Saccharomyces cerevisiae S288C: one gene and its partners. The gene in region 4 interacts genetically with the main gene of each other region. Each region holds a gene or a part of one and is shown on either strand. Other genes may lie near its edges. The genes, in order: TCO89, LST4, VAC8 and TOR1.

Region 1 (7,828 bases), on a different chromosome or scaffold from region 4:
GATAGAACCTTCATGACCCAGTAAGTTATGAATTTTTGTCTCCGAGAACAGGTCCCAAATGATAACACCGCCCATTACAGTACCAGCGTTAACATATACTTTATCCGGACCGAAAACTTTAATTATACCGGAATATAGAATAGATCTTTCTCCCCCAAGAGACTTCCTAAAAAGAACTTCACAATTTAAATCACAAATTAGCACTTTATTATAACATGTTAACAAATATATTTGCAAGTTGTCAAAGCTGAATGTAGCACCGGTAATCCAATCTGAGTTAATCCTTTCGAAATCCACCAATGACTCTTTCTTTAAAACGTCTTCAAGTTCCACTATTGTTACTGATCTTGCACCATAGGCCAAAATTTTCCCTTCACTAGAAAGGCTAAGTCCATGAACTTTATTGTAGTGAAATAGCCTACATTTGTTAATCAACGTAGCCGAATGATAGTCATAGACATGGATGAAAGGCCCATAACCAGCTAGAACATAATCATTGTAAAATTTAACACATAGCGCAGGACCATAATGAGACAAGTCCTTCATTTTAATCACTTATTCTTCTTCAATGAGCAACTTCAATTGGCGGGAATGAGAAGCTAAATAACGATGAGGTCCGCTAGCAGAAGTTTTTTCATGCTCATATTTTTCCACTTTTTTTTTCTTACATTTTTTTTTTCAGCAGCGTCGTTTTTTGTGAGACGCCGATGTGTATGCTAGGCTTAAATCTATCATTCAGACCCCAGTGTAAAACATAAGCGGTGAAAAGTACGTAGGGTAGTATACAACTCACCAAAGCACGACTACGTGAAAATGACCCTGAGAGTATCATCAATGTTATCGGCTGTATAAATAATACACCAGAACAAATTCCTCTTAAAGATGTAGGCAAGACCAGACTCAGTTTCTCTGAGCAGTACCTTCAATTTTCAATTTTTGATAGATGTTCGTCACTAATATTTTTTTATTGAGTTAAGTTCACCCACTTCTGGCACTTCTTATAACCTTGATAATTAAAAAGACCTCGGCGGTTATTTTTTATTTTGAGCAGTTATAAAGGGCATTACCCTCATCATCTTGCGGAAATAGGACGGAGCACGTCGCAGACAGGCTTTAACGTAATCAATTAGTTTTGAAAAATTTCTCCGCTATGGGTAAACTAGGTAAACCGCACAGCACAATCAGCTGCATTTTCTATTTTCAATTTTCTATTGGTGGCTTTTCACTGCATGATCAAAAAATAACGTTTTGTTGATTAGTTTTTTCTTTTTTGTTCTTGTTGGTTTTCGTATATGAATTTTATGTAACTGGGTATTTACAGGGGTACAAAGTTCACAACAGAGACCATCAATAGTTTGTTTCCTTCGAAGTTTACTTTGCGTAACCTTACTAAAAGATAGCATAAACATATAGGAGTATAGAGAAGAGTAATGGAATCGACAGCAATAGTGCCTAAAGGCCCTGTTGTGGGTAGTGAAGATATGGAGAAAGCGGAAGTCATTGCTAGTGGGTCCACAGACATTATATCAACAACATCAACAGCGACAACAACGGCGGCGATTGGAAGTGTACAGGAAGAAAGTGTAAAACAAGAAGATGTTCCTATGGAAGGTGGAGAGGGGGAAGTCGAGGAAGAGGAAGGCGAAACTCGCTGTATCTGTGGAGAGCTCGATACTCCAGATGACTCCGGATTTTTCATTCAATGTGAGCAGTGCAGTTCCTGGCAGCACGGTTATTGTGTGAGTATTACTCAAGACAACGCACCTGATAAATATTGGTGCGAGCAATGCAGACCGGAGTTACATCAGCTCTTTACCACAGATACTGGCGAAGCAAGGTCAATCTATAAACCTGTGCAAGAGAAAAGGAGGCAATCAAGAAGGAAGGCACGAAGTGCAGCTGCAAGTAAATCTCATGCCGCCAATGAAGCAGAGAAAAGTCCCAGAAATACCAGCAATACCGATGATAACGTCGACGATATCGGCGACGAAGAAGATGAAGTAGAAGATGAAGCTTCGGCTGTAGCATTAGCCAAGGACGGCAACACGAGGTCAAGTAGAAGGAGGAGGAGGAATTCAATGGATGATGCTTCTACCGATCAGTATTCACTGGATCCTGGAGATAGTGATAAGAAGCTACTGGATAGAAAAAGGGCAACTTTCATGGCAAGAGAAGAAAAGCAATATCAAAGAATGCTTGAAAAAGCCTTGAAAGAAAGCAGGAGGACATCACATCAAGAAGATCCTGAAAGTTATGAAAATGATGCTGATATATACCAAGGTGATACCGACAATCACAACGGCACCACTCGATTACAAACGGATGTTATGCTAACGGAAGGCAAACCGGACTCGGTAACAAATGATGATATGAAAGAAAGCCTACGACCATCGAAAGAGCAATCAATGGAAAAAACAAATGATGTGGAAAAAGAAGCTAGTCAAGAAAAGGAATCTTCTACGGGTTCGGCGCAAGACACTGAGAAAACTGATGAACCCATCCTACCCCTAACCTCAATATCTTCTTCTGAGGATGATTCAAGGAAAGCTAGTTCGAGGGGTTCTAAAAGAGTTTCCAAACCAGCAAGAAAGGGCAACAGAACTCGTCGAAGCAATACAAGTTCAGACACCAACCAAAATAGAAGGAGTGCTGATATAGGTACCGACAAACCAGTAAAGCCCAGATTACCCCCTCAAAGGACCTCATTAAACGAAATGAGAAGAAGGGTATCCGCTATTTTGGAGTTCATTTCTAGAACTCAATGGGAATTGAGTGAAGATCAGTCTGATCGAGAGGAATTTGTACGATTCGTGGAAAACCAGCATTTCGTAGAAAAAGTTGATACGATTTACAACGGTTATAATGAAAGTCTATCAATGATGGACGACCTGACTAGAGAGTTACTACTATGGGAGAAAAAATATTCAAATAACACTAATGCCATTCAATAAACGCAAAACACTGCAATATTATTCTCAACCAAAGTATAACTGTAATGAGGCGAACAAACACATCTATACATATATATACATCTATATGGATATAAAAACGACTAATTCAACGTTGTTTTTATCAACCGAGCTTACTCTTGTACGGGTAACCGCAAGGATAGCTAGTTGCGGATGGTATAGCGATTTGGCTGGCACGATGATTAAGGAATCCAAACATCTAATGGACTAGCACATTCTATCGATTTACGGGTCAGGTAAACATAGATATTGGGATATATCATATATCCTTACTGAGTAACTATAATTATGGTTCATCGAGGAAGGACTTTGAAGTCAGACACTGATGTAACATCTCTTAATGCGTCAACAGTATCACACCAGTCAAAGCCATTTAGACAGTTTTCGACTAGGTCGAGAGCAAAGAGTAACGCAAGCTTCAAAGGTTTGCGTAGAGTTTTAACACATGATGGCACCCTGGATAATGATTATTTTAATAAGCACAACGTTTCTCAGAAATGCAAGAGTTCTGATGCACTTTTCAGAAAGCGAACGATTAGTGGGTTGAATATGACAGCTTTAACAAGAGTAAAGTCCAATCAAGGAAAAAGATCAGCATCCTTTCATAGTCCGGTGCATAATACGCTGCTCAGTCCAAAGAACAGCAGTCATTCTAATACTGGAACTGCTGGTTTCGGCCTGAAACCACGAAGAAGTAAAAGTACCCAATCTGTTCTGAGTCTTCGAGATGCGCAAGAATCTAAAAAGAGTGAATCTACTACTGACGAGGAGGTGGAATGTTTTTCGGAAGACAACATTGAAGATGGAAAGGTGAATAATGATAAAGTAATAGCCGAGCATGTTATGCCTGAAGAAAAAAAGAATGTGCAGCAATTAAATCAGAATGAATTACAATCCCCGGATTCAATAGATGAACAAGAAGAAGATAAATCAGGTACTGATGGAAAGGAAAATCATAGAGCTGTATCCTTACCATTACCTCATTTATCTTCCAATAACTATTTCGGAGAATCAAGCCATTCTATAGAACATCAGAAAGATGGAGAAACATCTCCAAGCTCAATTGAAACAAAACTGAATGCAACAAGTGTAATCAATGAAGAGGGGCAATCAAAGGTGACGAAGGAAGCTGATATTGATGACTTGTCCAGCCATTCTCAAAATTTGAGGGCCTCATTGGTTAAAGCGGGCGATAATATATCAGAAGCACCATATGATAAAGAAAAAAAAATTCTTGATGTTGGTAATACCTTAGCTGCACATAAAAGTAATCAAAAACCAAGTCATTCAGATGAACAGTTTGATCAGGAAGATCACATTGATGCCCCTAGGAGTAATTCATCAAGAAAAAGCGACTCGAGCTTTATGTCTCTTAGGAGACAAAGTTCTAAACAACACAAATTATTAAACGAAGAAGAAGATCTAATCAAGCCTGATGATATTTCTTCCGCTGGTACCAAGGATATTGAAGGGCATAGCTTACTGGAAAATTATGCGCCTAATATGATTCTCTCCCAGTCGACTGGAGTTGAACGTAGATTTGAAAATTCATCATCCATCCAAAATTCGCTTGGGAATGAAATTCATGACTCGGGTGAGCATATGGCTTCAGGTGATACTTTTAATGAACTGGATGATGGCAAATTGCGCAAGAGCAAGAAAAATGGTGGAAGATCTCAACTTGGCCAAAATATACCGAACTCTCAGTCTACTTTCCCCACCATTGCTAACATCGGTAGTAAAGATAATAATGTACCACAGCACAACTTTTCGACCTCCATATCGAGTTTAACCAATAATTTGAGGAGAGCTGCTCCTGAAAGCTTCCATGGTTCAAGAATGAATAATATTTTTCACAAGAAAGGTAATCAGAATCTACTTCTGAGATCCAACGATCTCAACAAAAATTCTGCAGCCCCGGCCTCTCCATTGTCCAACGAACATATTACATCTAGTACGAACTCCGGTAGCGATGCAAACAGACAATCCAACTCAGGTGCCAAATTTAATAGCTTCGCCCAGTTCCTTAAATCAGATGGGATTGATGCAGAATCAAGAACACAAAGAAAATTATGGTTGCAGAGGGAGAATTCTATTATGGACTTAAGTTCACAAAATGACGGTAGTGACTCTATCTTTATGGCAGGAAACATTGATGCGAAAAGGGAGTTTGAGAGAATATCCCATGAATACTCTAATGTAAAAAGATTTTACAACCCATTAGATGAAGCATTGTTGAGAGTACAACCTATAATAACGGGAAATGCAAATAATATCAGGAAAAAAAGCCATAACGATGCTCAGTCAATCGCACATTCTAGCAGTGATACAGATCATAAGGATGAGGACGATTTGCTCTTTACTAACTATGACAAAAAATTTGATGATCTTTATCCACATCTTGCAAGTGCAAAGATTCAGGCAGTGTTGTCCGGTATATGGAAAAGCGAAAGTTACTTATTTAACAAGGATGTTAATCCAATCAACAAGAATAGGACAACGAGTACAAACCACAGCGTTGGCCACACTGCTTCACAGAATGCACGTAACTTGCTGAGGGGCCCGATGGGTTCCAGCACGACTTTGCACCACCAACGCGTCATTAACTCTCTGCAGCCGACTACGAGGGCAGTGAATCGCAGGATGGAAAATGTGGGCTACATGCATACACAGCCACAACAAAGGTGAAAACAACCAACACGAAGCACACAGTTTAAAAGAGTAGCTAATGCTTTCGAGGTAAAACGCGAAGTTCGTAGAGAGCGAATATGTTTGGACACTTAAGGAACATACTATGTTTATGCACTATAAAAGGACATGTACTTCTATACGAGCTAACGAGGCGTATTTGTATAACCCGGTTAACGTAATAAATGATAAATTATCGAACAAAAAGAAAGAAAAACGTTGAATGCAACCACCGCAAATTTAGCGATTTCGCTGGATTCCGTATCTCTTAAAAAATGGCATTAGTAAATATACCTTAAACGTGTCTATTCTTTTAGCAATTTTTTGGTAAGTATTCCTCACGGACTATAAATACTATCGGTCAGAATCACTACATTCAAATTAATCTTGTTTTACCGAGTCTCTGACGTTTCATTTACAAGCTTGTCCTTACAAAAAACCTATTTTATTACTTTAGTCCATTTTCCTTTCAAGTTAGATATTGTTTTCCCTTCACTTATATTCTATTTATGAGAAGAAGCCCGTCCAGATCAAATAATAACTTTGCAGTACCGAATTGCTCAACTAATTCAAACTCTAGTCAGCAACAATTAACTACACCTTCAGATGATCTCAACAGTAACGAACCTAATGACCCAGATGATAGTAGGTCTCTACCTACTATCAAGAAATTCAATAATAAACATTCTATAAACAATTACAACACTTTAGCATCGGCCGGGAAAAACAACAACAATAAACGAGCTAGCAATGATAATTTGCTCATTCCTGGTGAGAATGCCCATAAACAGAAAATATACACTAAGGATGAAAACTTGAAGAGCTTGTACCTAGATATCGATGTTTCTGTCGCTAAAGCCCTATCCTCATCAGCAACTGCTCCGAAGCTGATCAATACCGCAAGAACTTCCTCTACTACCACTGCCACTACCTCAAATAATATCCTGACATCACCCTCTTATCGTGAATCAAATTATTCTTCTCCATCCTCATATTCTTTTTCCTCCTACTACTCATCCGCTACGTCTGCTTCCTCATCAACCTCATCATTTTTAAAATCTTCAGGGTTATCGTCCAGAGTTAAGTCTCCTTCATCTTCGGTTAAGGCAGGTTCTTTTGGTGCGCCTTCGTCCCCAACATCTGGGATACCTAATCCTAAAAGTAGCAAGAAGCCTATATTTTTGAGACGGTATTCTCATGATACCTCTTCAAATGAAGGTCTTGATATCGATGTTGCGATCGAAAAATTACTACAAGTGGGTGAGTCAAGAGAAATTACAAAAACGTCCAAAAAAAAGAACTTTCCATTCCATTCTTGGGAAATTCAACTCATTTGCTATCATGCAAGAGAAATTTTTTTGAATCAACCTACTCTTTTGAGATTACAAGCGCCTATCAAAGTTGTCGGTGATGTTCATGGACAATTTAATGATTTATTGAGAATTTTGAAGTTGTCTGGTGTGCCATCTGATACTAATTATCTGTTCTTGGGTGATTATGTGGACCGTGGTAAGAACTCATTGGAAACAATACTATTGTTATTATGTTACAAAATAAAGTACAAAGACAACTTTTTTATGTTAAGGGGTAATCACGAATCTGCTAATGTCACAAAGATGTACGGTTTCTATGATGAATGCAAAAGGCGATTGAGCTCGAAAGTATGGAAAATGTTCGTTGACGTATTTAATACTTTGCCATTAGCAGCAATTATTCAAGATAAGATCTTTTGCGTTCATGGAGGTATATCGCCCGATTTACATGACATGAAGCAAATCGAAAAAGTCGCAAGACCAACGGATATTCCTGAAAGCGGGCTGGTTACAGACTTACTGTGGAGTGACCCAGACCCTCAAGTAACTGATTGGTCAGAAAATGATCGTGGTGTTTCATACACATTTTCTAAGAGGAACGTTCTTGATTTTTGTGCTAAGTTTAAATTCGATTTAATACTTAGGGGACATATGGTCGTAGAAGATGGTTATGAATTCTTTGCCAGGAAAAAGTTTGTCACAATCTTTTCAGCACCAAATTATTGTGGAGAATTTCATAATTGGGGGGCAGTAATGAGCGTTACAACGGGTATGATGTGTAGCTTTGAACTGTTAAAGCCGCGTGCATTGAAAAATAAAAAGAAGTTATACAAAACCAAAGTGTAGCTGTTGCTAAGA
Region 2 (8,316 bases), on a different chromosome or scaffold from region 4:
GCAAACAAATATTTTTTGCTTTTATTTTGAGATTTTCTAGGATCATCTGGAATCCTATAGTCGACATAGAAATGCGCTTGTGATATTGGTGTACCTACACAGGGAGAATAGTTTTCTGTACACGTGGAGATATAGTTCTCAGAGTCTGTAGAAAATGGGTTACGGCTCTCTTTGCGTGAGGACAGCTTGTTTAGCAATATGCCTACTCGTTTTTCCTTATTCTTATCAATGAATCTTTTCCACATGTCAAGTACAAATCCTAGTTTGATGGAACGCAGGAATTTAGAGTACATATGCAAAGCATCAGAACCTAAGCCAAAGATTAGAAATACTAGGTAAGACATCAAAACATAAAGCCATATATTATAAATTGGTCTGCCAGGGTCAAATTTAATAATGGTATTCCAGATGGTGCTGGAATGGGTATTTTTAAAAGTATAGTGTCCTTCTACCTGCTGTAAATCTTGAACAAAGGTGTAAACAGAAAAAGGGAACATGACTAAAATAATAATGAAACAGAATATCAACAGCCTTGCGAACCTTGTCAGGTTTAAACCTGAATTGGTACAGTGTAAAATATCCCTAACGTCCTTGCGTTTTTTATAAAACACGAACAGTACTAAGGTGGCATAAACAGCGCCCACAAATGACCATATAAGCATCCACATGGTATACAAAACAGTGGTAATCCATGTCGGAGACAATAAGTTTTGGCAACCGTTGTAACGAGCGATACCATATCTAAATACTTGTAACAGATATGAAAATCCCATGACCATGACAGGTGTGAACAAGCTAATCACAAGGTCCTTGACGATTTTCGTCCATGATGAAAGATCCGGTAAAACACTATCTGCCTTCAAAATTGTATGCAAGTTGTAAATGATGTTGGTAACGGCACATGATATGCCAATATTCGCACCAACCTGCAACTTGATGACAATATCACACCAACCTTTACCATCCCATCTCGTGAGGAAATCGTCGTCACTCCATATTGCCGCATCTACAATACACGTTAAATTCATTGTAAGAAGCCATGTTATCAAAATGATTGCTGGAATATTCTTGGTATGTGAATGCCATGCTAAAGGGGGAGCTAATAGTATCACAGCTAGCAAACAAAGCCCTATTATTGCTGACTTGTATGACATGAAAATTTTGATAGTATTTTGCCTTTCCTACACAAATTTAATTGCCTCTAAAGTTAAAAAGCAATAAAATAGAATATGTGAATACTGCACAAAATGAATACTTGGGAATTCAGAAATTATTCTTACCTTAAGCATCCACTCATATACATATATATATATATATATGTCTTTTCAAAAGACTTCTGCCCAAATTGTGGAGAGAACTCTGCCTCTCCGTGATAACGGCCAAATGAAACGCATCCAATGATGCAATTATTGACAAAGTTTCAAAGTTTCCGCCATTATTCCTTCATTTACACATTGATAGTCGAGAAGTTTCCTAATTAGTGTCACAATGACAGAGAAAATTGTACCAGCGCTTCTAACGAAAATTAGCACCCATACCCAGAGTTCATAAATCTGGCAATGTGGTACAATAATATAGGATTGGTAACATTTCAATTGTAAAATGTTTAACGTTTAGAGAAAAGGGGAGCCAGAACGCTTCTGGTGGTGTAAATACGGAGAAGTCACCTTAAATAGTTTTGTTCTGATAATTGCATTTTTTTGGAAAGATTTGGCTGCTTAAAAGATTCAAGCAATCAAGAGAAACATTACAAGGCCTGCTTGGCCGGTCTACTAGGCTGAAATAATAAGTTTCTGATTATGGTTATCACGGTAAATGATTACGAAAGGGTAAAGCAACGAATGGTTGTTTTATGGTAAGAATACTTTGGCGAATCAACAAATTGAAGTTGCGCAATGTGCGATTCGCTTATGTATCAAAAAAAACTAAAAAATGAATAGAGAAAATCATATATATAAAAGAAAAAAATATCGTACACCTCTTAGGTAACTTGGAATATATTAAACATGTAAAGAAGGAGAAAACATTAACCTGCATTACAATAATGAACAAGAGATGAAAAAATCCGTAAAGCTTCTGAATCGCGAAGCTCACTATCTATTCCATTATCATCATATAACATCATTGCACTCTTTATACTATTTTCAACAAAATTAACGCAGTTTTCCAAACTAGTACTTAGCTTGCCAATCTTGCCACAGGAAAAGATTTTTCTGGTCTTCTGTTTCAACACGTACTTCCTTTTTCCGACAAAATTCTCATCATAGATATTCTGGTTGCTGTTATTGTTGTTATTGCCAGTAAACTCTCTTTTCAATGCGACATCCCTAATGTCCCTTGAACGTAACGATACTAATAGACTTCTTGTGTAATCCGCCTTTAACAGGTCAATCTTCATAGAATTTGTTATTCTGCTCTCTGATTCTTGACCAGCAGGACATGCTTGCAACTGGAAAAAATTGTTAAAATGGGTTAAATACATTGTATATTTCGGCAATAGTTCCAGAGGTTTATTCATCAAGCCATCATCAATATCAGAATCAGTAGTCAAAATATCCGCATAAGAAGAGTTACCTGGAAAAATTTCGTAAGTGGAATTAAGGTCAGCCAAAGAGGGCTGACATATTCTTTCAAAAGCCTCATCCAAAAGATCATCCTGAGAGATCCTTTGGCAATCTCTTTTCAACTCAACGTTCTTTAGTGGAAATTTATATGATATATTCTTAACCAATGGGGGTGCGTGAGACACATCTCCAACATTAGGAGAGCCAGGTGTGCCCATCCAAGGATACTCATCATATTCGCTGATAGACGGTGATTGTTGCGGAGTGGTTAGTGATAACCTGGAGGTTGCTTGCTGCAAAGAAGACGAACTTGAAGTCCTTTGCATATTTCCAGCAGTTGTTTGCAGCCTCTCCCACGACTCGTTGTGTTTTAAAGAAGGGCTTGGTTGAAAGAACTGAGAAATTGTTGGCCTTTTGTTGAACCAAGAACCGTACGAACCAGGTTGGCTTGAGATAGAAGACGATAGATAATGCAATGAACTACTCCCACTTTTGAAGGAAGATGGCTGAATAACTTCCGCTAAAGACTCACTAGAAGACACAGATACTGAAGTGTTCGAGTTCCTCCGATTGGGTATTTGCCATCCTTTCCTCAAAGAATGGAAATTGGGTGATCCAATGCTGTTAGAGCTCACATTACTGTTGTTGTAATTATGATTGCTATTATTTTCTGTGCGACTCAAAAGGTTGTCTGTTGAAGTCAGTGTGCTCAATTCCGTCTCAGGCTTATCGACAAAATTATTGTTAGACTTATTTCTTGATACAGCGGACGAATCCGATCTTATGTTTTCCCGCCGTATCGTTATTTGTCCCTTGTACTTTGGCTCCAATAAAGCCGATAAGATGAACAGTAACTTGTTAGCAACCACCATGTTTCCTGACAGGATTACGATCTTGGATGTCTTTAGTTCTCTTATAGTGTGCCTGTAATCAGATATAATCATTGCCATTAGGAGAGGAAGGAAGCCTAGTTTCGGTCCATCTTTGATTTCAATCCAATTAAATATACTTTTGAACCAAACGTGAACGAATTCTTTAAATGTCTCAGGGTAAAGGAAAAGCCTAGGAATCTCAGACATAGAACGTAAACCTGGTATGACTCTTTTTTGTAAAGTTTGCACCATTATTTCAATTTCCTTGGGATAATGCGTCCTGATGTCAATATTTGACAATTTTATGACTGAATTATTGCTGTAATTGCCAGTATTTTCTTGCATAATACGGTTTTTAGTCAAGAAACCAATGAGCATTTTTTGAGTCTGGGTCAACCATGATGAAATGGAAGACCACGACTCTGCAACTACGGGCAACAATATCCTCGGTATGCATAAGCTAATTGCGATGCGGTTGTATTGGTGTGTGTAATAGAAAATTCTAGTTATGAGTACCAAATCCGAGTTAGGAATCGTCCTTATCTTGTCGCACTGCGTCAAATCGGAAGATCTTACGGGAGAACCAAATATATATTCCTTCAATTCACTCGGCCGTATCTGCTCCATCGAATTTGAAATCTTTGACGTAGTGTAATCGAAGATATCACGGTAGTTGTTCCTACACGCCATTTGACCCGCTTCCTCAATGATCAAAATCCTGAATGCATACGTTTTTTCGTTAATAGACGTGATTTTATCAGTACCAAGACCTCCGTTGTTTTGTAACGTATCGATAGGACGACTATAAGGAATATCCCTCGAGCCGAAAAGCTTCAGTTTTAAGTCATCCGATATATGATCTAAAATGGGCGGAGAAGTCGTTGATAGCATTTCCGAAGGCTTTTCCACATTGACTGCAGTATCTAAAAGAGCTCCAGCAGCGGTCTTAGTAGTTCCTGTGCTTGCCGCTTTGCAGTATACAGGGACATTGGGAACTACGGAGGAAAAATCGGAATGCTCTGAGCTCTTCTCAAAACCAGACGAACTCGTCTTATTTCTCAGTAAATTACCCAACATATAAACTCTCCCTCTTCACCTTCTCTACAAGGCCACACACAAGACAGTTTTAACAGGCAAATGGTACTGGAGGCTCTCACCAATGGGGTTTAAGACGCTCCAAACACACGCTCTCCTTTTTTTCTTTATATATCGGTAGCAACGAAAGCTAGTCGCAGAACGTTACACACTAAAGCAGATCAATCAATCAATCCTGAGAACCTGCTTCGTTCAAACCATCCACTAGAAGAAACACGCACGTGTACCCAAAAATAGAGACAAACAAACAGACAAAAATAACAATGATTCCTACCGACTAAAGTAAAACAACACTCACGTAATAAAAAATCCTAGATACAACTCACTTGTATTCCTCTCTTCTTTGACCATCACTAAAGCTTCTCTCTTACTATATTCCTCAAATAAAAAAAAGTTGCAATGATTACTTACCAATGTGCCATAAACTCCGTGCACCACACTAGCCTTCGATTTGACACATCTCTAAGCTGAAACTGAGAATACTGTTGTAAAACAGGTATTGGCTGCTTCATAGTACACCCAATTGCCCACAACCCAAGTTAATCATAAGCTCTTGTTGTCGATGAATTGCTCAAAATGTGGCCATTCTTTCAATTTTGCACCTCTAAAACTGCTCCGTGGGTTGTGACAACAACCTTAAGGGTAATGGACTTTTTTAGAAAGACAAATGAGATGATTTCACCTACTGGTATATCATTTATTTATACACGACCGTTTTGACATTTCAGAGTTGCACGTTGGTATATCCTAATATTCTCACAAGCATCACAGTGAAGAAACGCAAGAAAATGGAAAAAATTCCCAGGTGGTTGTTGTTTTCTCTTATATCGTCGGTGCTGTGCATACTTGGGGCCCTGTGTGTGCCGTTGTTATCGGTTGCCTTCGATAGCAAGCGCAATAGCCAATCTAAGTTGGTCAACTATGGTCTTTCTCTAAGTGCCGGATCTATGATCACTACTTCACTATACATGCTATTGCCTCGGATCGAAAAATCAAACCGGTTCAAGGTTTTTCCTGGATTGCTTTTGGGTATTTGCCTCAGTTTTTTCTTAAACTACCTAGTCCACGCTTTCGCCAGCGAATCGTTGGTACACTGTGCTGATAGCGGTGACCATGCTACAGGTTCACATATACACTCCAAATCACATTCGCATTCGCACTCACACTCACATGCGGATTCGCATTCGAATTTTAGCAACGATCATGATTTAGAAAATGCTCCCTCTGAGCATGGTTATGCAACATCTTCTTCCAGTGTTTCTGAAAATGACCCGTTGATTACAAAGGATAGCGATAGACCCCAAATGAAAAAGAAAATGTCCCTAATTGACTTATTAACCAGAAGGAAATCAGAAGGCGAGTGTTGTGACCTAAACAAGTGCACTCCGCTCTTGCAATCAGAGCAGCCAGAATATATTGCATGTGTCCCACCAGTGATAAAGTCTTCTCAAAGTGAAAGAAACGTGCCACATGGATGCGAGGGATCAGAAGATAATGGACAATCCGATGACAAGGATCATCGTGGCCTTGTATGCGTGGAAAATAATATCGGTTACGATCTTGAAAACCTATCGTTGTACCGTAAGAATTTTCTTTCGAGCCGCCATCATCATTCCTCTGAATCGCCCGAAAATTATGGTTCCAACCAGTTGTCGCACTCTTTTTCGTCACCTTTGGGAAATGATGTAACTGAGAATCCGGCCGCATTGGCAGACACACAATACCATCCCGAAAATGGTTCATTATACCCCCACCATCATCACTTAGAGACCCCTTTTTCCAAATTACTGTCTATTGGTATGCAAACTTGTCTAGTCCTTGCATTACACAAATTTCCCGAAGGGTTTATTATTTTTTACACTAACAGGTCAGATTCGTCAAAGTCCTTGGGATTTTCCATTTTTTTAAGTTTGACGATCCATAATTTTGTCGAAGGATTTGCAATGACGTTACCATTCTACACTGTTTTCGAATCTAAATGGGTTGCCATTTTGATTACTGCCGTTCTCGGTGGTGGATCTCAACCATTAGGTGCATTGATAGGTTATTTCATCTTTAAAGGTAGTACTCCAAGGGATCACGAACCCAACATGGATTTTTTACTGAGCGTTACTGCAGGGTTCCTATTAGTAATTGGTTTACAAATGTTCCAAACTGGTATCGGATTTAGCGATGGACATCATCATCATCAAGGAGAAGGTGATGAAGAAATGAAACAGTCCCATAGCTCAGGCACAACTTGCTTGAAATGGTGCTGCACTGGCGTTTTGCTAATTCTAGCGAGTGCCCTTTTCACTTGATAAATTAAAACTACGTATATTCTTTCTATATAAGTCTTTTCCCATTAAATAACGGTGTATAATCACGATCATATATCATATATCATATCTACGATCATCGGCAAGATCAAATTCTTGTTCTGCTGTATGGTGCTCATCACCATAATCGGTTATCACGTTTTCCTCATTTTCCTCAAAGGGATTTTCTGTACTACTTTTAGGATGCACCTTGATGAAACCTTCTTCAGAATTATTTTCTACAGACTCTTTCACTGTGGTTCCCGAGTTTAGAGTATGTTCAACATTGCTATCCTCTAGTTCAAAAACAGTTTCTTCCGCATCACTGGGAATTGGAGCCTTGATGTCATCTGCCAAGGGTAATCTAAAATTATACTTCCCCCATTTGAAATAAAGACCAGTGATAACTAAAATGCAGAATACGTACACCATTAAAGCATAATTCATTGTTTTGAAAGTTACAGGCACTTGCGTTGGTAGGCAAACAGAAACCATAGATAACAAGAGCCACACAATAGAAACAATGTTGATGAACCAACCAAACTTATACCTGATTTTTACTGGCGCGCTTCGGATAGCTCTTCTTCTCGTAAACAGCACCAAGACTAACGGAATGAAAGTCGCAGAACAAAGACAGAGCACTGCAGCGCCTATAAAAGCATTAAATGCGGCCGTTGAAATCAAAGCTAGCAGACCTAAAAAGTATGATATTATCATACTCAATACAACAGAATTCTTGGGGACTTTTGACTGAGAATCCGGTTCGACGTAGGTCCATTTATCGTAGTATGGTATAGCCTGGTCACGACTAAAACTATATACCGCACGAGAAGATGTAGTAATCGAGCCAATTCCGGAAAACAGTAAGTTTCCTAAAATTAGGAGCACTAAAAAAAAAGACAAGACCACCGAATCAGTCGATTTTGTAAAAATGTTCACTATTGGTAGAACCTTATGATTGGTAAAAAGCAAATCATTATCTGGCAGGATTAACATTATTGGTATAAGAAAAATGACTCCAGAGAACGCGGATAACAATACCGCATTCGACATACCACGTGGAATATCCTTCTCAGGAACTTTGACTTCGTCAGCTAAAGCAGGTAACATACTGAAACCTTGTAACGTGAAATTAGACTGTTGGAATCCAATGATGAAGGAAAGAAATGCGCTTTTATACCCTGATAGATTATTATCAAAGTGAAATAGCGCGTACTTCAAAGATCGAAATTTACCTTTGTGGAATACTAGTAGAAGAATATCAATAAATATAATGGCATATATGATCCAATAAACACAGACTTTGTTTATTGTTTCAATAAATCTTGCAAATTTCAAATTCACGAGGCCTACAACAGTCACAACTAAGTAAAATACAATGACTGTGTAAAAAATCAAGTGTGCCTCGGATATTAGGTTGGAGTTCGTCATCAGAATCAAAGAAATGGTAAGTTGAGCGCCTGCAAAAGTAATACTGGTACTCATAGT
Region 3 (5,646 bases), on a different chromosome or scaffold from region 4:
GAGAATAGATTACAGGGACATAACAGAAAGCAAACCCAATTGCAGCAAAATAATTATCAAAATGATGAATTGGTTATTCCAGATGCAAAGAAAGATTCATGGAACAAGATTTCTTCAAGAAATGAGCAAAGCACACACCAATCTCAGCCGCAACAAGATGCTCAAGATGATCTGGTTTTGGAAGATGATGAACATGAATACGATGTCGATGATATCGATGATCCCAAATACCTACCAATAACTCAGTCTTTGAATATTACACATTTAATTCACTCTGCAACTAACTCTCCATCCATAAATGATAAAACGAAAGGTACAGTTATAAATGATAAGGATCAGGTACTAGCTAAATTAGGCCAGATGATCATCAGCCAGTCAAGATCCAACTCAACATCCTTGCCAGCTGCAAATAAACAAACAACCATCAGATCAAAGAACACTAAGCAGAACATTCCTATGGCTACACCAGTACAACTACTAGAAATGGAGAGCATCACGTCCGAATTTTTCAGTATTAACTCGGCAGGGCTACTAGAAAATTTTGCTGTAAACGCATCGTTCTTCTTAAAGCAGAAACTAGGTGGCCGTGCACGTTTACGTTTACAAAATTCTAATCCGGAACCTTTAGTAGTAATACTAGCCTCAGATTCCAACAGATCTGGTGCGAAAGCTCTGGCGTTGGGTAGACATCTTTGCCAAACGGGGCATATCCGTGTCATAACATTATTTACATGTTCTCAAAATGAACTACAGGATTCCATGGTCAAAAAGCAAACAGATATTTACAAGAAGTGTGGCGGAAAAATTGTTAATAGTGTATCGTCGCTGGAATCTGCTATGGAAACATTAAATAGCCCTGTAGAAATAGTCATCGATGCCATGCAGGGATATGACTGTACATTGAGCGATCTGGCGGGGACGTCGGAAGTTATTGAAAGCAGAATTAAAAGCATGATATCATGGTGTAACAAACAGCGAGGATCTACTAAAGTGTGGTCTTTGGATATTCCAAATGGGTTTGATGCGGGATCCGGCATGCCAGATATTTTCTTTTCAGACAGGATTGAAGCAACAGGAATTATTTGTTCTGGCTGGCCTTTGATTGCCATCAACAACTTAATTGCAAATTTGCCAAGTCTAGAAGATGCTGTTTTGATTGATATAGGTATACCACAGGGCGCCTATTCACAGAGAACTTCTTTGCGTAAGTTCCAAAACTGTGATCTTTTCGTCACTGACGGGTCCCTGCTATTAGATTTGTAAACCAAGAATTACTTTAGCCTAAACTGGATACATACGTATAAGCATACGGTAAGGAAGTGGGATCTGTAGCGGTAATGCAATAATGTGTTGGCTCTCACAAATATGAAAACTGCGAACATCTATATAATAAGGTAACGGTATAACAGAAAAATCTGAATAATTTCTCTTTCCCGGGTAATGAGCCCTTAAGGAGGACTCAAAACGAAAAGGAAAAAAATACGAGTGGAAAGAAAAAATGAACCCTTTCCAGTAATTGATAATAATACAATCATTCATTATTAGAAATATATTAGTTCTCAATTCAAGGCAGAATAGTGCTGTCATTGTGATCAAATTTTTGTGTGAGTCTGCTTTGCTTTCTGTTTTTTTTTGTTGACTCGCTGTTCAATCTCCTACTTTTCCTTTTGTTGTTAAAATAAGGTATTATATATTTATACAACCCTATAAAAAGCAATTAGCCAATTTCCAATCCTACGAAGACAGGAACTGAGCAAACTATAAGGGTGTTCTTTCTTCTGTACTATATATACATTTGCAACTATGGGTTCATGTTGTAGTTGCTTGAAAGATTCTTCAGACGAGGCCAGTGTCTCACCAATTGCCGATAATGAAAGAGAAGCGGTGACTTTATTACTAGGGTATTTGGAGGATAAAGACCAATTAGACTTTTACTCTGGTGGTCCACTAAAGGCCCTAACTACTTTGGTGTATTCAGATAATCTAAATTTGCAAAGGAGCGCCGCTCTGGCATTCGCAGAAATTACTGAAAAATACGTCCGTCAGGTCTCTAGAGAGGTACTGGAACCCATCTTAATATTATTACAAAGCCAAGATCCACAGATTCAAGTGGCCGCTTGTGCAGCCTTGGGTAATTTGGCCGTTAATAATGAAAATAAATTATTAATTGTGGAAATGGGAGGCTTAGAGCCATTAATAAACCAAATGATGGGTGACAATGTAGAAGTTCAATGTAATGCTGTTGGATGCATTACCAATTTAGCCACAAGGGATGACAATAAACATAAGATTGCTACTTCTGGTGCTTTAATTCCATTGACTAAGCTAGCTAAATCCAAACATATAAGAGTTCAGAGAAATGCTACAGGTGCATTATTAAATATGACACATTCTGAGGAAAATAGAAAAGAATTGGTTAATGCAGGTGCTGTGCCTGTATTGGTATCTTTACTGTCGTCCACCGATCCTGATGTTCAGTACTATTGTACTACTGCTTTATCAAATATAGCAGTGGATGAAGCCAATCGCAAGAAGTTGGCTCAAACTGAGCCAAGATTGGTTTCCAAATTGGTTAGTCTGATGGATTCTCCATCTTCAAGGGTAAAATGTCAAGCTACTTTGGCTTTACGAAACCTAGCGTCCGATACAAGCTACCAATTAGAAATTGTAAGGGCTGGTGGGTTGCCTCATTTGGTAAAGTTGATTCAAAGTGATTCTATACCACTGGTTTTGGCTAGTGTGGCATGCATTAGAAACATTTCTATTCACCCTCTAAATGAAGGTTTAATTGTTGATGCAGGTTTCTTAAAACCATTAGTAAGATTGTTGGACTATAAGGATTCAGAAGAAATTCAATGTCACGCCGTATCTACTTTGAGAAATTTGGCTGCATCATCTGAAAAAAACAGAAAAGAGTTCTTCGAAAGTGGTGCTGTCGAAAAATGTAAGGAACTGGCTCTAGATTCACCTGTTAGTGTTCAAAGTGAAATTTCCGCATGTTTTGCTATTTTAGCCCTAGCAGATGTCTCCAAATTGGATCTACTGGAAGCAAATATCTTAGATGCTTTAATCCCTATGACTTTTTCCCAGAACCAAGAAGTTTCTGGTAATGCTGCTGCTGCTTTGGCAAATCTATGTTCAAGAGTGAATAATTATACAAAAATTATTGAAGCATGGGATCGTCCGAATGAAGGCATTCGTGGATTTCTGATTAGATTTTTGAAAAGTGACTATGCTACCTTTGAACACATTGCGCTATGGACAATTTTACAATTGCTAGAAAGTCATAATGATAAAGTGGAAGATTTGGTTAAAAATGATGACGACATCATTAACGGAGTGAGAAAAATGGCAGATGTGACCTTTGAGCGTTTACAAAGATCAGGAATTGATGTTAAAAATCCGGGGAGCAACAACAATCCAAGCTCGAATGATAACAACAGTAATAACAATGACACAGGATCTGAACATCAACCTGTAGAGGATGCAAGTTTGGAATTGTATAATATTACTCAACAGATTTTACAATTTTTACATTGATTTTCTTCAAAAGCGGGACTAGGCATTATAATTTTTATCAAAATTTTCTTCTCAGAAGTTTTATTTTCTTTCTCTCCATTTCTTCCATCTTTTTAATCTTTGTTTCCTTTTTTTACATCATATTACTTCTACCTACTCTACTCTATTCTAATTTCAATTGATTTTTTTTATTTTATTTTTTTTTTTGTTAATAAAAGAAGAAAAAACTTAAAAACGAATAAGAGGCTGTCTTTGTTCCGTAGTATATGCCTATTTCCTTCTAGAAGTTTGAAGTGTCGTAAATTTTACCTACGGATAATGTTCGTTACATTGTTGAATGGCAACTGTAGTGAGGTAATGTTCAAAAAGTGAGAAAGCGGGAGAGAAGGGCTACATACAAAAACCAATTCTAGATAACATCTATATCTTCGTTTTTAGAATATATTGTAATAAAACACAATTGATAATACAGTTCTCTCTTCGTCCTCTGATGGTGGGAGATCTATTAAAAATACAAGTTAGCTGAGCGGGGGAAAAAAATAGGTCTTACCCGGATTCGAACCGGGGTTGTTCGGATCAAAACCGAAAGTGATAACCACTACACTATAAAACCTCTTAATTATTGATTTCCACAATAATTTTATCATATATCAACACTATTCTTCACATAGTTTTTTTAATCCCGGTGTCTCTCATCTGCTAATGAAAATACGTTCACTCATATTTCATGCACCTTCCAGTAGACTGACCCTTCATAAGGTTAAGAATATCATGGGGAAATTATCGCAATGCATGTCTCTTAAAGAATACAAGAATATATAAAGGCGAATCAACGATTCTTCACGATAATTTGTTTTCCTCTTAATCACACAGCAGTCTGAATTCTATCAGTGGCACATTAATCCTTGTTTCAATGCTCGTGTGCACATCTGCGTAAATATACATTCTTACGTTTTCTTATTTAATAATAGTAGGTTGAGCTTCGTCCACCGGGTAATGCTCCCGGAGCAGTGGAATTAAAAAAAAAAAGGGTGAGCACCGGAAACAGCTATCTGCGCTTAAGTATCACTAACGTAAAGCATAGGTAGGATTTCCAGTTCTGCCACATTTGATAAATAGTGTAATCCGTAATTATCAAGCGAGATAGTTTTCGAATATAATTTAGAAGTAAGAGCAAAATATTAATAGTATTTCATAAGGAATATTGGAAGAAAGGAGCGTAATACGAAAGATGAGGTATGTTTGATAAGATATATACGTATATTTATATATCACTCTTCTGAGAAAGTATGCCATAGAATGAGGATCACTAACAAAGAAAATGTCAATGAACTTCAAAGATATCGTTTAATGAAACAGTAGCTCTAAAAGAAGGATCGAGACAGATGTTATGAAACTGTTGATGAGTGATCATCAAGTGGATTTAATCAATGATAGCATGCAAGAGTTTCATGTAAAGTTCTTGGGACCAAAGGATACACCCTACGAAAATGGGGTTTGGAGGTTACATGTAGAGTTGCCGGATAATTACCCATACAAGTCGCCAAGCATAGGGTTCGTTAACAAGATATTCCATCCTAACATTGATATCGCATCGGGGTCCATATGTTTGGACGTAATTAACTCTACATGGTCGCCTTTATATGATCTGATAAATATAGTGGAGTGGATGATACCAGGTTTATTAAAGGAGCCTAATGGTAGCGATCCCTTGAATAACGAAGCTGCCACATTGCAATTACGAGATAAAAAACTGTATGAGGAAAAAATCAAAGAGTATATAGACAAGTATGCTACAAAGGAAAAGTACCAACAAATGTTTGGCGGAGATAATGATAGCGATGACAGTGATAGCGGCGGTGATTTACAAGAAGAGGACAGTGATTCTGATGAAGATATGGATGGCACTGGTGTTTCCAGTGGCGATGATAGCGTAGATGAGTTAAGCGAGGATCTAAGTGACATAGATGTCAGTGATGACGATGACTACGACGAAGTCGCAAATCAATAATTTCGAGCACACACATATATATATATATATATATATGTATGTATGTATAAGTATATATGATGGCATACTATACCACACGTACGACTATAATTACAAACAACTATCAAGCAACTACA
Region 4 (11,066 bases):
ATCAACCTGCTCAGGGACGTCTAATTCATTGAACCTCTTGATATCATTGCCCGTTAATTTATCTGTAATACGTCTCAAAACAAGCATTGCTCTGGCGTTTTTGGTCTCATTTTGTTGTTCTGCTTCCATATTTGCCGCTTCTTCGACAGTAATTGCCCCCTTCCTTAATAATTCACTAGGATTAATCAACGGCAAAGGAATTCCAGTTTGCTCAGTAAGTTTTTGTGGCGGTAAATCAAATCCCCAATGGATCAAAGGATCAAGCGCAAAAGCTTCCAAGATCGCCATTAATGATTCTTTATTATCTCTTAAGACTCTCATGACATTTTCACAAGTAATTCGGAAACTGCCTTCAATTCCACTAACTTCCATTGCGTATGTTAACATCCTAGTTAGTCTAAATGGCACTTTTTCTGGATACTTTTCTCTTAAGATGGCAGCTTCAAAACAATCGCCGAAATCAATGTGGATAACTTTACCGGTGATTCTATCTAGCATCAGGTTGCTTGGATGGCGATCACCTAGTCCCAGAATATAACCAGTCATGGACATAACTGCTAAAGATCTCGTATAAGTTGTTCTACGTTCTAGCCATGTCTCTGACGACCTACTCTTTAACCATAATATTTTATAAAGGTCTTGGCCTTTTGTATTATCTAAAGCGTACGTGAATACTTCAATTTTTTGTAAAAGAGTCAAATTCTCATAATCGGGGGCCATTTGTAACATAACCCAATGTTCAATGTTCAACGGAATTTTTTTGGCATCACGGTGTTCTCTGATCAAAACGTGGAATGTGTCACTATTTGGTACCCATCCTAGTAAACCAGATTTAGGCGACAATGGAATAGCCGGGTATTGTTGGATATCCAAATGTCTCTTGAAACACTCTGAATCATTCTTCAACAAAGTGTTAACTAGACCAAATAATTGCATAACAAGGCTATCTTGTCTTATATCTTCATGTCCCTTTAAAACGTATTTATAATCTTTACCGTCGCTACCCTTGATGGAGAATTTTCTTGGCCTTTGCTTCGAAGAGATCACAGAAAATAATGGCTCAAACTTCGCTATTCTAATGGTAGGTTTTCCTGGGAAATATGTCCCAGGAACAGCCAATTCGAGATCATGAGTAGCCAGAAGCTGGGGAGAAACATGCTGTAAGTCTAAGGTTTGTAACTGTGGTATTTGACGTGTTATTTTTCTGAAGACGTTATAATAAATATCCCAAGCTTGGTTCAAATTATTGATGTCTTTTGACTTTTTGTAGTTATTCAACCATTCGTAGGCATCGTTCAAATCTCTACCAAATGATTTCTGAAACGATACCTCACTTAACGTTTGAGGCTCATTGCCTAAGTGTTTATGTAAAGGTTCTAAAGTAGAAAACATTTTTTCTATGTTATGTTCAACGAAAAATTGGCGGCTCGCATCTTCCAGTCCTTCATACCATAATTCGTGCCATAGAACGGCTACTCTGATCAACTCGTGACTAACTAATTCTGCCTGGTTTACCAGGACTGGACTATGAATCCTAATTTTCTCTATTATTGAAAGAGCCGCTTTTTGTCTTGAAACAGATTCAGACTTGATCGCGACAGTTAAAGGATACACGAGAGCTTGTGGATGAGCTTTCCCTAAATCAGAAAGCAACGACAAAAGGGAATTACTCACCGTAGGATCTGGCTGATGTATACGAGAGATCAACTGTGGTAAGACTTCAAGCCAGTTCTCTATTTTCATCAAATTGAAGCCTTCATACATGGCTTGTGAGACTTCTTTAATACCACCAAAGTTAAATAAAAGAGTCAATAACCTCAACGTGTCTTGCAAACAACTTGTTTCTAATAGAGATATTGAATGAAAAAAGCCCTTGATCGCTGGAACAACATGTCTTTGAATAAGCTCTAGCGGGTATCTGTTGCCATTAATAGTCAAAGAACCACTTCCTAGGATACTACCGTCAATCCGCACATTATCATTATTAACTGCCGTGTCATCATCATCATCATTCTTACCTCCGTTGAGCTTAGTCTCTTCCTGAACCATGGATATTACTTCAAAATTAGCTAAGGCCCAATTATGCCATGCCTTGTACCAATTTTTATCGAAATGTGTAGCCAATAGATAAGAACCAAGAATTGCATCCGGATTTGTGTTTCTCCAGTTCGGTTGTGTTGCTATTCTCCACTCACCTTGCTTTAAAAAACATCGAGCTAATAATTTTGTGTATTCCTCAACATACGGAGCAGTACTTGCACTTGAGAGTTTGACACTTTGCGCGATCATATTATTCGGATCCAAACCAAGATCATGCGCTAACCTGGATGTAAATCCTATCAAGTGGTTTAATGCTTCTTTATAAGCTCCTGTAGCCCAAATATATTTTAGTTGCGCGTAAACAACTGGGGGAGGAGCTTTGAACGTATTTGGTAAACTAGGATCGTTGCCTCCTTCTAGTAGCATATTCAATGCCTTATTTGCTAGCCTCATTCTACCAGATTTTCTGCACAAATTTGCAAATTTTATCCATATTTGCAGGTCTTGCTTGGGCTTTATTACCAATGATCTTACTCTAAGCACTCTTTGCCATAAATCGACATTTTTTTGGCAGCCCAGCAGTCTTTTTGTCCAAAGATTTTGATAGTGAAGTTTTTTCTCGGAATTAGGTGGCAATTGTTTATACTTGATGATTTCCTCAAACTCTGTTATTATTTGAGTTCTAACAATAACGCTATATGCTCTATTATAACTTTCATTGATCAACGCGGAAATTTCAGTCACAAGCAAATCTCTGGCGTTTAATATATGCTTACTAGCATTGTCGTAATCATTCTTGTGCAAGTATAAAATTGCATCAAAAAATTCCTTATCTGGAGATTTAGGTTTCATAACGCTGATATATTGCTCAAGCATATCCCACTCTCCCAACCCCCACGCAGCACCAGCTGCCAAGGGAGCTATTAGCTTCTTAGTTTGTAGCTTCGAAACTTTCCACTTTCTAGCTGCCAATTGCGACAACTGTTCCCATTCGCCAAGGGCATGAAGGGATCTCATCTTACCGAGTGTAACGCTCACGGAAGTATCACCTGCCTTTTCACGTTCATTATAAGCATGTAGTGCATCTTCCCAACGCTCTAATTTTTCAAACCATGTCTCCTTTAATTGAAGTGAATGATGTTGTTGGGCATGCTTTAATATACCAATTGCAGCATCCGTTTGATTCAGCTGGTTGTTAATGCTGATCAATGATTCAATAGTTGAGTTCTCAGGCTCTTTAATAAATTTAATCTCTTTATAATGTAGCGCTTTGGCATAGGCGTGACATCTTTCAGCATACTCGCCCAGGCTTTGAGTTGGTATTGGTAATGCCTTGTCATCGTGTTCCATAAATTCTACCAGGTTTAACAATGTTTGATGTATTTCTGGTGGATTTAAGGGAGAAGATAAGGCTATACATAATGACCCAATTAAATCTTCTTGATATTGGCTATAAAGTTCGGTCCAAACACATGCGAATGCGGTATTAAAAAGTTCTTTGGCTAGTGGATAATACATGCTTGCAAGATTTGAACAAGCTCTTAGAGCATGGGAGGGTGACTCTTTTAATAATTGAATGGATAGACGTTTGCTCCATTCCTGCCAATCTTCTTTAGTTCTTTGTTGGCTAGAATTCCATGCACTTTTCAAAACTGATTGGTTTATAGGTAATTTTGCGACCCCAGCATCTGCTGCCTCCATTTGTTCCGCGGGCTTATAATCCGTTGTATTTGCTTCAAGAATTTTTGTGGGTAAAACATCATTGTTTAATATTCTGTTTGTCAAGTCATCATATATTGTGTGTTGAATATGTTTCTTCATTAAAACTTCATTAATGACAGGGATGAAGATAGCAAAGGATGTGCCCATTTGTATTAGCAGTAGACTTAAAGTATTCATAATGACTTTTGAGAGTTCGTCACTCGTTGTTGAACTTAGTACCCTAAGTAAAGAGTGAACAATTCTTGAGGACATCTCAAAAAGGTCAACATCCTTGGCCAGTTTGCCAATAGTAATTATTGCAGACCTTTGTAGGTTCCCGCTGGTGAATTCTGCCATTTGAACTATCTTGGGTGTAATCAAATGCGAATAACCTTCTAAGTTAGGACCAAACGATTCTAACAGTCTCAATACCCTTCTGGAGAGGACCTTGTCACTAGACTTGTCATTCTCCAAAATTACAAGGAACAAGGTCAGAGTAAGAGGGACCAATCTTTTGAATTCACCCTCCAGAGCCTTTGATATTGCTTCAATAACACTTACAAGCGTTATTTGTAGCTTAGCAACCGAAGAAAAATCTTTGATAGCCTGGAATATAGAATCGACATGAGGTCTTATGTGTTGCCTTACGATAATAATCAAAGAGCAAAGCTGTTGGAAGTAAAATTCTAATAGTGACTGAGAGCATGTACGCATTACGTCCAAAATAGTTGGGATGATCTGGTCCAAGAATGAAACACATTTTAGACCAAGGGTTTGAAAAATATGCATAATCGCTTGGATCACGGCAGTGTGGTAAGATGATAGGGATGGATCTTTTAGGATTTTTAGCAGGCAGTGAATGACAACAGTGGTATAATACTCATCATTCGAAGGAGACATGCCCTGCATGAGAAGAGCAATGTCGATAGGCGGGGCGTTCTGTTCTGTAGATATATCGGTAGTAGAGGTAACCTCACGTTCTTTTTGGCGATATGGGTCGATAGCTCCCAGTATACCTATCAAAGTGACTGTTTGTCTCCTAATATTTTGAGAGTTTTCTGTCTTCAATATATTCACCAATATACCCAATAATTCGGGATAGTCGAGTAAAGGATCTATCACGTAACCAGATGAGGCTGCAAGTTGACCAAGGGCCTTAAGTGCAGCTTCTCTCTTGAAAGAGTTTGATTGATCCTGAAATGTTTTGATAATTAAAGGAAACAAATCCTTAAGATATATCTTCATATCTTCGCCCCCTACAACAGATAGCTCACCTATAGTTCTCAGTGCAGTTGATGCAACCGTTGAAGAGGTATCTTGGAATTTTGGTAAAAGAACATTTAAAAGAGGTTCGATATAAGGTTTCGCAACATCTTTACTCGACCTGATAAGAGTACATAACAAACTGGCAGTTTCTTCCTTTTCTCGAGAAGAAGTTGAGAATTTTAATTTTGTTAGCAGTTCCAGTAGTATTTTTCTTATCGATGGGATGACGTATGCAGGGTTTACGGAAGACAACCTACCGACAAGCTCCATTGCTACTGACTGAATATTGAACGACTCATCGTGCAGTGCAGTAAACAAGAGTCTCAAATTATCTGGTTGTGCCAACTGGGGATCGAAACATGGATTAAGATTCTTTAAAACTTCTAAACGGATATCTTGTAAAGGGTCCGCAATCGTAATGGCTAGAAGCTTTGATAACACTTCAGATACAGTGTTCAGAGAGTGTAGTGATGTTTGTTTGCAGATGTTATCCTTGACGTAAATTTCACAAGATGTCAACGCAGCTAGTTTCCTTACTCTGGGATCTGTATGCTCAATGTAAGAAAGTGCAACAATTCTCACGAATTCCACCAACGAAAATCTGCTTTTGATATTTTTTAACATTCTAAAAGCTTGTATAATGATTTTTATATCATTATTATCATCGTTACTTTCACCAGTTTTCTGTAGGATGTTTTTATTTCTCCATTCTCTTGCTCTTTCTCTCGAAAACGATGGTATCTCCATTGGTGACCCTGGCTGGATAAATGGTGTTCCAGATAAGGTTGAACAGACTAGGTTAAGCAACTCGTCATTTATTTTGGGGCCTAGTGATGGTATTCTCTCAGTCAGAATTTGAAACGTTTCCTGCATATAGTCGGAAAGAGGGCATTTGAACATCAGGTCCAGTATATTTCTGTTTAATAATTTACCTAGAACGGGGCCCAAGGGAACTGCCAATCTTCCGATGCAGTAGAAAATTTCATTTTCAAATTTCTTTCTGAATTTGAATTTCGTCTGTAAATCATGTTCAATATAATCAAGAATTTGTTTCACATAAGGTGCGATATCGGGCCCGACTTCATATGCAATATCACCAATCGATATTAAAATCTGTGGTTTGTCATCTTTGAGATGTGGTATTTTATTTGCTGGAGCATTGGTTAAAATCTCTAAATAGTTGTCCATAATTTGGTGCAAATATTTGCCAGCAAATAATTGAGGATTGAACGATGCTAATAGGGGAACAATCTGGTAAATCTTTTCTCTAATCATTTTCGCTTTATGATTTTCATAAGCTATGCAATTTAGACACATTTGGTCGAACACTTGATTCAAAAAGGGATCCTTCAAAAACAAGATTTCCTTATAAACCAACAAACTTGCATGGATGCATTCTAATGTGTTTACTTGAAATCCGTATTCACAACTTGTAGCCAATCTCTGCACCCACTGGCTAGTTAACTGAGGATCCCTATTTCGTAGGGTGGAAAGACATTTGGCCAATGTAATGGACGCATCAATTCTGATCACCAAATGTGGGTCTCTTAGTGCTCTCCAAATGTTATCTAGTATGGAATTCAAGTATTGGTAGAGTAAATAAGGACAATTCTCTGCCAACGCTGTTATAATCAGAAGCGCAGCATGTTTAGCATGGTCTGGCTTCGAACTCGAGAATGAATTCTTTTCCGTGGAGGCAGTAAGCCATTCTAAGCAAGACTTTATCTCAAATTCCACGAAATCAGAGGTATATGTACCTCCTGGAACGGCTAACTTGCCCAGAGTCTTTGCAGCGAGTCTCATGACCTCTACATCATTAGAAGGTATTAGCCCTCGAAGGTAACCAGCCAGTCGTGAAGTTTCGTTAGGCAACCTTTCAGTATATGCGTAGAATGAAATCAAAGTGTCTATGGATAGAACAGCCCCTACCCTAGTGCTCGTTTTTTTTGTATGGACCAGCTCCAAAATCTTATTGTTTATGTCATTTGAAACTGCTTGGAACTCTTCTATCGACAATTCATGTTCCAAGGATACTAGTAGATCAAATAATGAAATACTGGCCAATTTTCGTTCCTCCTTGTAATCACTGGTTAATTCGCGGAAAATTTTCTCCAAAATGGGCTTAAAATTTACATCCCCATTACTGCCAATCACCACTCCATCAAACCTACTAGAAGTCAGACCGAATTCATCCCCGTTCCTGCTCGCATTCATTTTCATGTTCATATTCACATTCAGATTCGGTGCCAACGGCACATTTCTATCCATGTCCATATCGTTGTTAGCCGCTTTCAAAAGTTTACTCTTCCAAATCTGCTCCTCATGCGGTTCCATATCAATGCAAACCTGCTAGCCGGTTGATGTATGTTTCACTTTACCAATGACTCTCTCGTGAAGCTACTATGGCTCTTTTTTAACGTAAGCTCAAGAAGACCCTTCGATAAGGACTTTCAGTAGTCACCCGGCTGTCCGCGGCTTCAAAATGGCGAGAACCCCTTTTCAAAAGTTTCAAACAAAAATATATGAGAGTAGTTTAATCAAGAATTGGCCCTACCGTAAGGCCTCACGATTGAGCAAGAAATTAGGATTCAATGTCATACTTAAACAATCCCGCTGTTGTCATGGACAATGGTACCGGGCTGACCAAGCTCGGTTTCGCCGGTAATGATTCTCCCTCCTGGGTCTTCCCTACTGCAATAGCCACAGCTGCACCTTCAAATACAAAGAAGTCCTCGGGCGTTGGTGCGCCCTCAGCAGTTAGTAATGAAGCATCATACTTTGGAAATTCCACCTCTGCAACCAATTTCAATGGTGCAACAGGTGGTTTGCTGTCTAATAATTTATCCGGTAAAAGAGGTACAGAAGATTTGGATTTCTATATTGGAAATGAGGCTTTAGTAGCATCCCAAGGACCCTCTTACTCTTTGAGCTATCCAATCAGACACGGTCAAGTGGAAAATTGGGATCACATGGAAAGATTCTGGGAAAATTCCATCTTCAAGTATTTAAGAACAGAGCCTGAAGATCATTTTTTCCTATTGACCGAACCACCACTGAATCCTCCAGAAAACAGAGAGCAAGTGGCGGAGATTTTTTTTGAATCATTTAATTGTGCTGGTCTATATATTGCTGTGCAAGCAGTTTTGGCTCTGGCTGCGTCATGGACCTCTTCAAAAGTCACGGATAGATCATTAACTGGTACTGTTATAGATTCTGGTGATGGTGTCACCCACGTCATCCCAGTGGCGGAAGGTTACGTCATTGGCTCAGCAATTAAAAACATTCCAATAGCCGGTAGAGACATCACATTGTTCATCCAATCCTTGCTAAGAGAACGTGGTGAAGCAGACACTTCCTTGAGAACTGCCGAAAAGATTAAGCAAGAATACTGTTACGTCTGTCCAGATATTGTAAAGGAGTTTAACAAATTCGATAAAGATCCTTCTAAATTTGCCCAATTTGTGGTGGAAAACCAAGAAAAGACAAGGAGAAAAGTCGTAGATATTGGTTACGAAAGATTCTTAGCACCTGAAATCTTCTTCAATCCAGAAATTGCATCCTCAGACTTCTTGACTCCTTTACCCACGGTAGTGGATCAAACTATCCAGGCTTGCCCTATTGACGTCCGTAAAGGTTTATACAACAATATTGTACTATCAGGTGGGTCTACCATGTTCAAAGATTTTGGACGTCGTTTACAAAGAGATCTAAAGTCTATCGTAAATAACAGAATCGCACAAAGTGAGCTGTTAAGTGGAACTAAATCGACTGGTGTAGATGTTTCCGTGATTTCTCATCGGAAGCAGAGAAACGCTGTCTGGTTTGGTGGCTCGCTGCTGGCACAAACAGCCGAATTCAAAGGCTACTGTCACACTAAGAAAGATTATGAGGAATATGGTCCGGAAATTGTTAGAAATTTCAGCCTTTTCAACATGGTTTGATTATTGAGTCATGACTCATCTTATAAGGAAAAAGGTACAAAAACAAATGCAAATAACTGAAACGCCCCTCACTTCATTTAAATATACGTATACAACTGATTATATACACGTATATGTACAATCAAGTAACCCCAAATGCTGATCTGAGAAAAAAAATTGTGGGATATGTGATTAAAACTTATCTTTTATTATTTATTTATACAAAATCAATACTCATCTTTACCACTAATGATGACGTTATCAATCTTTAAAATCATTCTACATAATTGAGTAGCTAAAAGAATTTGCTGCTTTTTGCCAATAAATGGATCAACGACAAATAGTTCCTTCATGTCATTAGACCCGTAACCTAAGCAATCGACACCAATGTTGGAAATCTTTTCTTTCAGTTGTTTACTTTTCAATGTAGACAAAGTTCCGATTGGATCAAGACCAGAATTTTCAGCCAAAGTCATTGGAATGGTGTCTAACGCTTGGGCGAATCCACGGAATGCATACTGATCAATACCACGTTGCTTATCAGCTTCCTCAGAGACAGCCAGGGACATAGTCACTTCGGCTGCTCCCCCACCGTAAACTACACGTGAGTCTTTAACCAAGTTACGTACCACACATAGTGAGTCATGCAATGCACGTTCAGCTTCATCCACGATCATTTTATTGGAACCGCGAACAAAACATGTTACAGTTTTTGTTTCTTTACTTTGCTCGATAATCAGCATACGATCCTTAGTAGTACCAAACTCCTGCTCGTAAATTCTGGAACATGTACCTAATTTATCCTTAGACAAGTCTTGAAATCTTGGAACAATGCGACCGTTTGTGGAAATGGCAATGTGTTCTAGTTCTTGGCCACCTACCCATCTTACGGCAGGTAAATCATTCTGTAGAAGTAGATGATTGGCCTCATCGTCAAACCCCCATTGGCATATAACAACATCTGCGCCCGCTTTCTTCACATCGTCTATCATTTCTTTGAACTTATCTTGTTCATAAGTCTGTAATTTTTGGTATTCTTCTACTGAAGAAATGTCTAATTTATGCTTGGTCTTTGGTTTAGGAGGTTCAAATGGACACGTTAATATAGCTAACTTAACACCATCAGAGCCCTCTTTTGGTAAAACACATTTAGGCATTTGTGGATGAGAAAAATCTTTATCCAAAATGACACCATTAATCAATTTTGAATCGCTTATAGATCCGCCAACCCGTCCTTGCATTTTGATTAAATCGAAATCCACGTCTTTACGATCTTTGTCCATGACATTTATGACGGCTTCCACAGCCATTTCAGCAAATCTATCATGATCCTTGGAAACAATTTTGGAGCCCAAAGAAGTTTTGGCGGCCCTCAATAAAAAGTCCCTGAACAATTCATCGTTTGACGCAGAAATGTCGTCACATGTTTCTTCTAACTTGGAAATGGCTAATTTGGCGGCTTCATCAAATCCATTAGCGATTTTGATTGGATGTATACCCTTTTGAATTAACTCCAATGCTTGGTCAAGTAGCGCACTTGCCAGAACAACAACACCAGTAGTACCATCACCAATTTCATCATCTTGAGATTTGGAAAGTTGTACTAACAACTTTGCAATCTCATTATCTAGCTCCATTTGGGACAAAATTGTAGCACCATCGTTAGTGATGGTGATTTCACCGTCAGGTGAAATCAAGATCTTATCTAACCCACGGGGACCCAACGAAGTTTTGATAATAGAAGCTACTGATCTAGCAGCCAATATATGTGATTTCTTGGCCTCTAATCCGTGCTGTCTCTTCTTGTTACCTTGATCCTTCACGATAATAAAGGGTCTACCCATCTCGTCTTGTGCCACAATGGCGTTCGACAGATCCGGCATTTCCATAGGAGGTTGTTGTGGACGAGCAGCCATTTTCAAATATTGCTATAAAAATGGATGATAGCTGTTATTACTTTGAGTTTGTAGCTCTTTATCACGCACACCTCATTTGCCACATCCACCAAGACACTATTATATTTCTAGTTGTTCCTTAACAAAATTTTTCATTCAATGGCATAAATCACTTTACACGTTCTCGAGAACAGTAGATGCGATGAGTATGATAAATAGTAAGAATAATATGATAATGTACGCT

Evidence for each region.
Region 1: mutations in TOR1 (region 4) and TCO89 together harm fitness more than expected from each alone (negative genetic interaction), as found in Saccharomyces cerevisiae (4 studies listed by BioGRID, with this or other methods).
Region 2: mutations in TOR1 (region 4) and LST4 together harm fitness more than expected from each alone (negative genetic interaction), as found in Saccharomyces cerevisiae (4 studies listed by BioGRID, with this or other methods).
Region 3: mutations in TOR1 (region 4) and VAC8 together harm fitness more than expected from each alone (negative genetic interaction), as found in Saccharomyces cerevisiae (6 studies listed by BioGRID, with this or other methods).

The regions. Positions count from the first base shown.
Region 1 is NC_001148.4:201,991-209,818, forward strand, and holds TCO89 (Tco89p), read left to right. Parts: upstream 1-3,257; coding exon 3,258-5,657; downstream 5,658-7,828. Other genes in the region: tRNA (34-2'-O)-methyltransferase regulator RTT10, read right to left, coding at 1-546; CTI6 (Cti6p), read left to right, coding at 1,431-2,951; PPQ1 (protein-serine/threonine phosphatase), read left to right, coding at 6,167-7,816. UniProt on the Saccharomyces cerevisiae protein: Component of TORC1, which regulates multiple cellular processes to control cell growth in response to environmental signals. Nutrient limitation and environmental stress signals cause inactivation of TORC1.
Region 2 is NC_001143.9:113,474-121,789, forward strand, and holds LST4 (Lst4p), read right to left. Parts: upstream 4,514-8,316; coding exon 2,027-4,513; downstream 1-2,026. Other genes in the region: STE3 (Ste3p), read right to left, coding at 1-1,154; Zn(2+) transporter ZRT3, read left to right, coding at 5,320-6,831; TPO5 (Tpo5p), read right to left, coding at 6,907-8,316. UniProt on the Saccharomyces cerevisiae protein: Involved in extracellular amino acid uptake. Required for the trafficking of the GAP1 nitrogen-regulated general amino acid permease from the Golgi to the plasma membrane.
Region 3 is NC_001137.3:127,022-132,667, forward strand, and holds VAC8 (protein anchor VAC8), read left to right. Parts: upstream 1-1,803; coding exon 1,804-3,540; downstream 3,541-5,646. Other genes in the region: EDC3 (Edc3p), read left to right, coding at 1-1,263; YEL014C (uncharacterized protein), read right to left, coding at 1,282-1,587; E2 ubiquitin-conjugating protein UBC8, read left to right, coding at 4,751-4,755, 4,879-5,530. UniProt on the Saccharomyces cerevisiae protein: Functions in both vacuole inheritance and protein targeting from the cytoplasm to vacuole (cvt). Involved in the formation of nucleus-vacuole junctions (NVJs) during piecemeal microautophagy of the nucleus (PMN).
Region 4 is NC_001142.9:555,691-566,756, reverse strand, and holds the start of TOR1 (phosphatidylinositol kinase-related protein kinase TOR1), read right to left. Parts: upstream 7,342-11,066; coding exon 1-7,341. Other genes in the region: ARP3 (actin-related protein 3), read left to right, coding at 7,599-8,948; chaperonin-containing T-complex subunit CCT5, read right to left, coding at 9,155-10,843.